Linked DNA regions of Schizosaccharomyces pombe. The protein of the gene in region 2 interacts with the protein of the main gene of each other region in a biochemical or structural test. Each region holds a gene or a part of one and is shown on either strand. Other genes may lie near its edges.

What was found. The genes of interacting proteins can lie anywhere in the genome.
Region 1: the proteins of rpb3 (region 2) and rpb6 form a complex in vitro, tested with the Schizosaccharomyces pombe proteins (2 studies listed by BioGRID).

Annotation. Positions count from the first base shown.
Region 1 is NC_003421.2:781,252-784,634, forward strand, and holds rpb6 (DNA-directed RNA polymerase subunit Rpb6), read left to right. Parts: upstream 1-1,785; 5' UTR 1,786-1,849; coding exon 1,850-2,124; intron 2,125-2,342; coding exon 2,343-2,496; 3' UTR 2,497-2,826; downstream 2,827-3,383. Other genes in the region: Tf2-12 (retrotransposable element/transposon Tf2-type), read right to left, coding at 1-883; mmt1 (mitochondrial iron ion transporter), read right to left, coding at 2,999-3,383. UniProt on the Schizosaccharomyces pombe protein: DNA-dependent RNA polymerases catalyze the transcription of DNA into RNA using the four ribonucleoside triphosphates as substrates.
Region 2 is NC_003421.2:1,782,357-1,788,586, forward strand, and holds rpb3 (DNA-directed RNA polymerase II complex subunit Rpb3), read right to left. Parts: upstream 4,643-6,230; 5' UTR 4,624-4,642; coding exon 4,544-4,623; exon of another isoform or gene 4,502-4,543; coding exon 4,452-4,501; exon of another isoform or gene 4,406-4,451; coding exon 3,642-4,405; 3' UTR 3,083-3,641; coding exon of another isoform or gene 1,619-3,082; 3' UTR 1,436-1,618; coding exon of another isoform or gene 1,430-1,435; 3' UTR 541-1,429; downstream 1-540. Other genes in the region: trp3 (anthranilate synthase component I), read left to right, coding at 1,430-1,435, 1,619-3,082; mrp49 (mitochondrial 54S ribosomal protein mL61), read left to right, coding at 4,934-5,073, 5,255-5,522; SPOM_SPCC1442.11C (uncharacterized protein), read right to left, coding at 5,646-6,194. UniProt on the Schizosaccharomyces pombe protein: DNA-dependent RNA polymerase catalyzes the transcription of DNA into RNA using the four ribonucleoside triphosphates as substrates. Component of RNA polymerase II which synthesizes mRNA precursors and many functional non-coding RNAs.

The DNA.
Region 1 (3,383 bases), 1.0 Mb from region 2:
ACCAGGGTCTGGTAGGCAGTTTATGTGCTCGAACAGTTTCTTCTGTTATAATATTTGCTTGAGCGCCCGTATCGATTAGACAGGGTATTGAGCACTTGAAGTCTGGAAGTTCAGCTTGTAATACCATTTCGTAACGTTTCCTAGTATGATTTAGGAATTTGTTAGATGAGTATTCTATTCTCGAAACATTTGTCTTCCTCAGGTTTCTGCTATTAGTGGTGTTATTTTTCTTTGAAAGGGACTCTTTTCCTAGATTTTTATTTTGCGGTTGAAAACGCTTGTGAGTTTTACCATACGAGGCTGTTCTTTTGTCCTCTAAAAAGTCATAAATTTCACTGATTTCTGATTTCCAGTAATTTCTTTCCTTTAATTTCCTTAAGGAATATGGCAGCATCCATAATATAAACAAGCGAGTATGGAAATCATCAACATTTGCTTTTGACATGAGTTTCCTTATAAATTGAACTTTGTCCAATTGATTTCTAAAACCTTCAAATGTTTTAGTTAAACGATCACCTTTGTTGGATCCTTGTACTTTCCCTGTTTGTCTGAGTAATTCTTGCCATGTAAGACTTCCATTCTCAGAAAACATGCGTTCAGCGAATTGTTGCTCTAATTCTTCTAGGTGATTCAATGTATACTGTCTTTTAGTATGCTCATTTGGGAATAATGAAGGGTATTCAGTAAAGTGTTGATCAAGTTTTGAAATGTAACTTTCAACATCCTTATTTGGATCGAATTTCCCTATCTCTGGTACATGCTTCGATAATATTTTTGCAAAAAGGTTTATTAAATGTTCGTCTGATGTTTGAATTCCATCCAAATTCTCTGGTCTCCATCGTTTTGCTCTTGCTTTCATATAACGATAATTTGCGTAGGACATTGTATATGTTTCCCTTTGGGAGATTTCAAAAGGGATAACAGTCCTTCCAAAGTTCCTTCTCCTTTGAACCCAGAAGGAGAGAAATATATATATTTATGATATATATTTATTCAATAATTCCTTTTTCCTAAAAGGAGTTAATTGTAGATCACAAGAGTTCAGTTATTGTAAGCTACGCAGTTTGGTATCTGATTTAAGGATACGTAGAACTGCGGTGAGTTTTCCTTGTGATCTATTATATTACGATACACAGGTTGTATAAGTAGCAACTGAGTATAGGTATTGTATTAACTGGGTTATAATGTTACCTATCACTAATATAGCTCATAACTGAACTGAGGAACGAGGTTCAGCAGTAGCTCTATTTATAGTATTCAGATAATATTGATCTTAATAGATTATCATTAAGATCAATCTCCATATCGTATCATACATGGTACGATATATAATTAGAACATGTGACATATAGTGATACTCAACGTAGTGTATTATAGCGTAGTGTAGTATTGCTGACATTAAGTTCCTTTTAAGAGGGTTTACACGTTTGATGAACTCATTAACGATGCGTTGGGATGCGACAAGTTTAACCTGAGACGTGGTACAATAGCTAGTAGTTAATTTCTACAAAGTAGCAAAGGTAACAGACATGCTTATAGAGAGATGATAAAGTAATAGTAACAAATAGACTCTCAATCAGTCAATTTTATCAAATTAAATTATTGATTTAAAAAATAATTTGAATAATAAAAGAAAAAGTCTCTGAAATGTTTCAGTGGAGCGTGCGTTCGATCTTTCTATGAATTAAACATATAAGATGTAAATAGTGCATTGTAGTGTAAAGTAATGAGATTTAACACGGATTCACAATTCGAACGCTGACTAGGTGTATGAGAATTTCCTCTGTCAACTTCCAATTTTTTAGATTCGCCCTTGTCCCCCTTTTCTCCTTTGGCAATTGCATACAAAATGTCTGACTATGAAGAGGATGAGGCCTTTGGAATGGACGGTGCTGTTATGGAGGAGGAAGTCGATGAACTGGAGATGATCGATGAAAATGGGCAATCACAGCAAGGCGTCTCTCATCCTGGTGAACCTTCGACTACCGTTATTACTGAAGATGTTGCTAGCTCAAAAACAGCTCAATCTGGTAAAGCGGTAGCAAAGGAAGACCGAACCACTACTCCTTATATGACAAAGTATGAACGCGCTCGTATTTTGGGAACTCGAGCACTTCAAATTAGGTGAGTAGATGCGTGGATTTACAATAAAGCGTCGTACAAAGGCACTAGCGTAATTGCTTAAGTCCTGAATCGTTATGCTGTTTTGCAGTCATGGAGTTTAAAAAAAAACGATATAGTTAAAAATTTTTTTTTTATTTTCTAGTTAGGATTGTCTGATTATGATGAATTTTGTTTCTTTTCAATTGAGCTTTCTTTTAATTTCTAACTCTTTATTTTAGTATGAACGCACCTGTTTTAGTTGATTTGGAAGGTGAAACTGATCCTTTGCAAATTGCCATGAAGGAGCTTGCACAAAAAAAGATTCCTCTACTAGTCCGGCGATATTTACCCGATGGCAGTTATGAAGACTGGAGTGTAGCGGAGCTCATTTAATTTAAGAAGTGTTCCAATTTCAAATACGTTCTATCGCTCGTTCGATTCACCTCGTTCTTTTCCTAATTCTTTTGTTTTACGTGAGCGAAGCCGTTTGGCTATGGTAAAGAAAAGAAAATAAAAGCAAAAGGACTAAATTTTTAGCTCTATACCATTAATTTACGATTTAGAAATAGGGACGTATTTATCCTCGGGAGAAAAAAAAGGCTTGTGCTACTATTCTAGAAATCTTCTTTTCTTGTGTCAAAAAATTTTTTGGGGCATTTTAGCTCTCGTTCTTCAATGAATGCATTTAATAATAACTTTTTCCGATAGTTTTAGTAGCTGTGTAAATGTAAACTCATTGATCACGGAGTTTTTTGTACAACTGTTAATCTGAAAAAAATTCTAGAGCACAGAAAACTCAAAATTGCTTACTACACACCTATCATTCAGATATGTTCAAATGTTCTATTACTATCAGTTTCAAAGCATGGATTGCGAAATTTACAAGGTATAATATCTAATGAGTGTGCTCATGAGATGGATGCGAATGTTCACCAGAAGACCCATTTAAGTGTTGCCATCTATGAACCTGATTAGAGTCAGAGGAAAGTGGTGTCACGATACAACTGGAAAGGGCAGGGATAGCATCCAAAACAGTCTTTTCTACCTTTTGTGCCAATTCGGACGACTGTTGAGATGTGAAGGATGGAGGAACAGATATTATCACATGCATGGCATGTGCATTTCCTAATATAGTAACGATTTTATATGGAAGCTTTTCTCCCTTCAATAAAGCATCAGTTACTGCGATACGTAACTCTTCGGAAGGTGCTCGGTCCAAAAGCTGCAAGAAGGCCTTTTTAGAAGAGTTGAAGCCGGCACTAAAAACGACAATACTTACT
Region 2 (6,230 bases):
TGCAATCTAAGTGAAGCTCAATTCCCCGAATCGGGATTTTGTACGACAATATCTTAACTTGAAATCATGAGGAATCAACACTGTAGAAGTAAAATAACTGTTTAATAACAGTGCGATCTTACCTTTATCCTATACTATTTTTCCTATTTTCTTTTTGCATCTGCGTTTATTGAGTGAAGTGAAAGAGGTATTTATTCTACTTAATAACATGAATTTGAACTGACAGAGATCCAATATATAACAAACAAGATTCCTATACTCGTTTAAAAAGGATTTGAATAAACTGTTTTTAGGATACTGTTCTATTTACTTATTTATTTTCAGGCAAAAAAATAGTGCCGCGTGAAAGACCCTCTTTTGCTTTTCCCGATTGAATACATTATACAATTAAAATCCTTTTTTGCTAAAAGATTGAATTTAACCAGCGATTGATTGTTTTTATACGTTCGAGAGTTTCATCTCCGTTTTTATTAACTTGCAAGATCATTCACAAGACGAAAAATCCTTGATCGAATAACATTACTTTTTGCTTATTAAGTTGAACTGTTCAGATTTATAGATGACTAGCCTTGACTGTTCAATTGCACTTAAACAAGCAATCACTTTAATTCACTTCGATCGTTTCGGTATAAGACGCACTTCAAATCCTAAGGGTAGTCGACTCTATTAAATTTATAAATTTGTTAGCATAAATATAACATTATTCTGAATTGCCCTAATAGCGAGTCATGTATTCTCTTATACCAATTCCAACGCCTAAATCCTCTTAGTTCTCTTTCGTTATAATCGTTGTTCCTCTTTTCAATTTCTGAATATTATAAGCGCATGATTCACGAAATTTCATAGATTTTGTAGAGGACTTTTACACAGTGTCTTCTCCTCTATTCAGGTCTGCAACTTTCTAGCTAACATACACACCCTTTTCATCTAAACGAATGCCTTTTATTTTTAACATTTTTAAATCAAACCAAGGAGACTAGATAAATAAAATAAAAAAAAAAGAAATCAAGATCTTAACTAGATTGCAGTTTATGTTCGACGAAACTTTGGCCATTTTAAGAATTTGCCTAAGAGCTTAGGAAAAAAATAAATCTTATCCTAAAACAAAATACTTTTATCGGTTTGTCCGCAGTTAAATATAACTTCCTAATTCCTATTTCCAGTCTTTTATTTACATTTAACCATATAACGTTTTCCAACGCATCCGTTATATTTTTCATCTAATTTAGATGAATTTTCCAACTTTCACAAGTTGTCTTCTTCCAGCAGCTTTACGTTGTTGAATTAATTGGTTCTTTTGTTTTCTTTCTTCGCTTACAGAAAAATTTGGAATTGCTTGTCTTTCTGGAAATAGATCGGTTCAAGTTTAAGGGATTTTTTTGGTTTGCTATTGAATTTGCACTTATTCGAGTATAGACTTGTCAATAAGATGAAGGTAATTTGATTTTTTTTGTTCTAACAAGGAGACCCAACCTATGGAAAATAAATAGTAGTATTGGGATATATTGACGAGTTTAGGATTGGGTCTTTCCTTTGTTGTATTGCTTTTAACTGTAAAAGTCGCCGTTTCTAGGGCTATGAAGCTTAAAATTAATACATGATACTAATACTATTTTAGATTTATCCTGACTTGAAACAAGTTCAAGAGCTTGCTGAAAAGCACAAGGCTAACAAGATTCCCATTTATGGAGTAATCCCTGCCGATATGCTGACTCCTTCAGTAGCCTACTTGAAGCTTAATCAAGGAAAGAAGTATTCGTTTATTTTAGAAAGTGTCACTCAAGGAGAGAGTGTCTCAAGATACAGTTTTATTGGCAGCCCTTATAGAATATTAATGGCCAATGGAAAAACAGATCCTTTGGCACGTTTAGAACGTGAGTTGAAAGAAGTTAAAACAGCCCCTGTTGAGGGTCTGCCATCTTTCAGTGGAGGTGCTGTGGGCTATGTTTCTTATGATTGCATCAAATATTTTGAACCCACTACTGAAATGCCTTTAGAAGATACCTTGGGTCTTCCGGAGGCTATGTTTTTCATGACCGACGATTTAGTCGCTTTCGATCATGCTTATCAGACTGTCAAGATAATTTCTCATGTTTGCATTCAGCAAGGCCGACCCATTGAAGAGGCTTACGAAGCTGCCGTTTTCAAAATCAATATGCTTAAAAAGAAACTTGAAAGTCCTGAAATTCCTTTGCCTGAGCAAAAGAAGGTCCATTTAGGATACGAAGCTAAGTCAAATGTAGGCGAAGACGGGTATAAAGCATTTGTTTCCAACCTCAAGGAACATATCTTTAATGGCGATATTTTCCAAGCTGTCCCAAGCCAACGGATTGCTAGGCGTACAGATTTACATCCTTTTAATTTGTACCGCCATTTAAGAACAGTTAACCCGTCCCCTTATATGTTCTACATCCACTGTGATGATTTCGACATAATCGGTGCTTCCCCTGAATTACTGGTTAAATCAGAGCATGGGCGTATTATCAATCATCCCATTGCCGGAACTGTTCCAAGAGGAAAAACTAAAGAAGAGGATGAGGCATATGCCAAGGATTTACTTGCTAGTGTCAAGGATAGAGCTGAACATGTAATGCTGGTGGACTTGGCAAGAAACGATGTCAGTCGTGTCTGTGATCTCGACACAACAAGTGTTGACAAGTTGATGACTATTGAAAAGTTTTCTCATGTTCAGCATCTTGTTTCTCAAGTTTCTGGTGTTCTGAGACCTGATAAAACTCGTTTTGATGCATTCCGTAGTATATTTCCGGCTGGAACGGTCAGTGGGTCTCCCAAAGTCCGTGCAATTCAGCTCGTTTATGGATTAGAGAAAGAAAAGCGTGGTATATACGCGGGAGCCGTAGGTCGTTGGGGCTATGAAGATGACAACATGGATACTTGTATAGCAATCCGTACAATGGTTTATAAAGACGGAACTGTTTATTTGCAAGCCGGTGGTGGTATTGTGTTTGATTCAGATGAACAAGATGAGTACGTGGAAACTTTAAACAAACTACGTTCAAATGTTACTGCAATTGAGGAAACCGAAAAATTATACGCTGAAGAAGAAAACTCTTCAGCATAAAAGTAAAGGAGACGCTTTCGGTTCTCGTTGTACATGTTATTTTAAAGTGTTGAGGTTTTTAAAAACTTTTTTGTTGTCTTTATTTTTGGTAAACGAATAAAACATCGTTATAAAAAATTGTATTCTGTAATCTCGTTGTCCACTTGTAGCAACTTTGTCTATTCATTGTGAGCATGGTGAGCCGATATAAACTTTCCAACAAAGAGTTCAAGAGGCAATCACCGAAAATTAAAAAGATATCAAAACGACAATTCCGAAAGTGTTCTCTTTCACGAAATTATCTAAAGCTATAATAAATCCAAGTGAAGAAGAACAAAATTATGATATGAGGGAGGAATATATATCTCTATATATGCATATCAATACGTACAATATGTTGTAGCCAAAAGCCAAAAAAAAAAGGATTAGATAAAAATGTGTAAGGTATGACATGAACGGACGCAGGCCATAAATTAAAAACTTTTAGATGATTAAAAAAACGCATCTAGAGTATTTTTTATAACAACAAACATATAAAGGATGAAAATGGATAATTTTTAGAAAAGAATTGAAGCATAGTCTACCACGTGTTTTCTTCACCATTTTGATAGGGAGACCAGTTCATTTCTGCATTCTCCTCCATATTCAGTTCGTTAGCAGAAAGTTGAGTAGGCTGCTCTTCGTCGAGATCACGAACTAAAACTGCAAGCTTTTCCTGAAGAATTCGTAAACCTTGAACCATTATTTCATTGGGTGGTATAGAACCGACACTTTCGACATCCATATAAAACCGACGCGGTTCCTCTTGGAAGTTGAATGGTTCGCCTTCCCGCGGTGGTTCTTCCCAATCGGCATTTTTGCTTTTTGGCCACTCTGCATCTGCATCATTCTCAAACCAGTAATCAGTATGCTGTAACTTGTTCCATGGATCGTATTCAAATGCAACAGCTGAAGTAGGTGACCACTTAGCATGTTCTTTAGCTATACCCTTCTTGGCAATGCAACGCAGAGAAATTTCCTGCTCTTTTCTGAGTTTGCAAATAAGCGGTCCGCGTGATTTTGGATCGGCGAGAATAGGGTGTCCAAGAGAAGAGTTAGAAGAAACAACAAGATCTCTAGCATAAATTTCCATCGTACCCTCACCAGTACATTTGGCATTTAGGAACAACTCGACTGAACACTTGGGACAATACTGATCGCAATCGCAATTGCGCGTATATTCCAAACCTACTGGAGGCGGTTCATCGATGTTGGAGCTATCCAGAGGTATCATACCAAGACGATGTGCTAGAAACTCATCAGGCATGACTGAGGTATTCACATTAATTTCAACTAGGTCAATGGCTAAAACATCATTAGTATTTAATTCAAGAATGAACCTAAATCTTACCCACTGTTGGAATCTCTGCAAGTACAACACGTCGCAGCGAGTTTGCAACTCTTTCAACTATTAGAAGGAATTTCCTAGAGCTTTTCACTTACGCCAAACTTGTATTTGTAAGGACAAAATCCACCGAGTTTTTACTTATATTTCGTATCGTAATATGCGTTTCTGAATCCATAATGAGAATGTGTCGTTTGGTCTATGCTTGTTGCAGAATTTCATACTCATTTCTCCCATTCCGCACTGTTAGGTGATCCCTTATTTAGCATAAGGACACACTAAACTACGTTAAATGCGAGATCAAGGAACTCGCTTTTAAAGAGAGCAAGCAACAATTGACAAGAGAGTACGAATCTACGGCATTAGGCTTAATTCATTAATATTTATATTCTCTGTTCATCCCGACAGAATATTTGAATAAAAACATATTGTTTCAAACTCTTTCATTTTTGTTTGGCTGATTATTACTACAACTTTACATTTTCGCCATGTCTAGCATAGGCGGTAAATTACAAAAATCTTTGCACAAGATTCGTGCTGGAGCTTTAGGGATTCCTTTACCAAAACATATTCAGGAAGTATCTATTCAATATTCTTTAGACAGCCGTTTGGGACATATGGGTGCTAAGTAAGTTTTGTTTATTCGTGTTAGAATCATCGATGTTGTCTATGTACTGGTACCTCAAACATTTTATGCTCAATTCATGTTTAATTCTCTCAAATAACTGCTTGATAATACTTTGTGTGAGGAAGCACTGATCTACGATTCCGTTTCATGCGTTGTTCATTGCTAACGTTTTAAATTCTAGAAAATTTGTAAAAGAATGTCTTCCTTCATTGTATTACAACAATTACGGCTTGAAGTTTAACGTTAATCACCGTTTACCGAACGATCAAACTCCAACATTTTCCATTATCTCAAACAACAAAGTAATCTATTCGTACGACATGCGGTCAAAACAGCTGGAAACAATTTCTTCCGATATTCAAAAAGCGCTTAAAGAACTTCATCACGAGTCATCCCCGGAAAACATTAAGGAAGCGCACAAACAAGATTATTCACCTCCTTCTAATTAAGCAAAAACGCTTTTAAAATTACTTTTTTTCAGTGAACAAAATATGCATCTTTTTTTTTTCTAAAAAACCTTTAGTTTTGCTGCAGTCCGTTTACTGTATTCCTTTGTTTGATGATCCATAAACCTACAATTCCCTATTTTCTTTTTTATTTAAAAAAGTTGTTTGAGTGAAAAAGAATGCTATCTTGAATACGAGCTTTAGTCTAAAAAATACATCGGCTTGCATTAAGATTTTTCTATCCTTGAACGAGAGCGTAAATGCCGTAAAATAAAAGAACAAAGAATGACCGAAATATTCTAACTTGGTATAAATCATATTTGTTGATTGAGTTCTTTGAAAAAGTTTTTGTACATGATTATGAGGGAATGAACTAATGATCGTTTGGTATGACAAAATAGCGTTTCTCCTCTTACTTGATCGTATTTTTCCTAAAGAAATAAAATTTCTGCCAACTTTGTTTATATCCATAATGCAAAATTCCTGCTGCAGTTTATTAGATATTGAGGTTTTTTTTCGGTCAGTGGAGGAAAGTGAACAAATTTGATTGTAGAGTTTAAAAATGGTTGAAATTGTGATCATATCAAATAGCCAACCATCTAAATTACGAAGTACAATATCTTTTTTACAATATCCTCTTACCAAACTCTTCGGGTTTCTGTTAACGATGAGCATGTACTTGTAAACGATTCAAAGTTTAACTGAACAGAA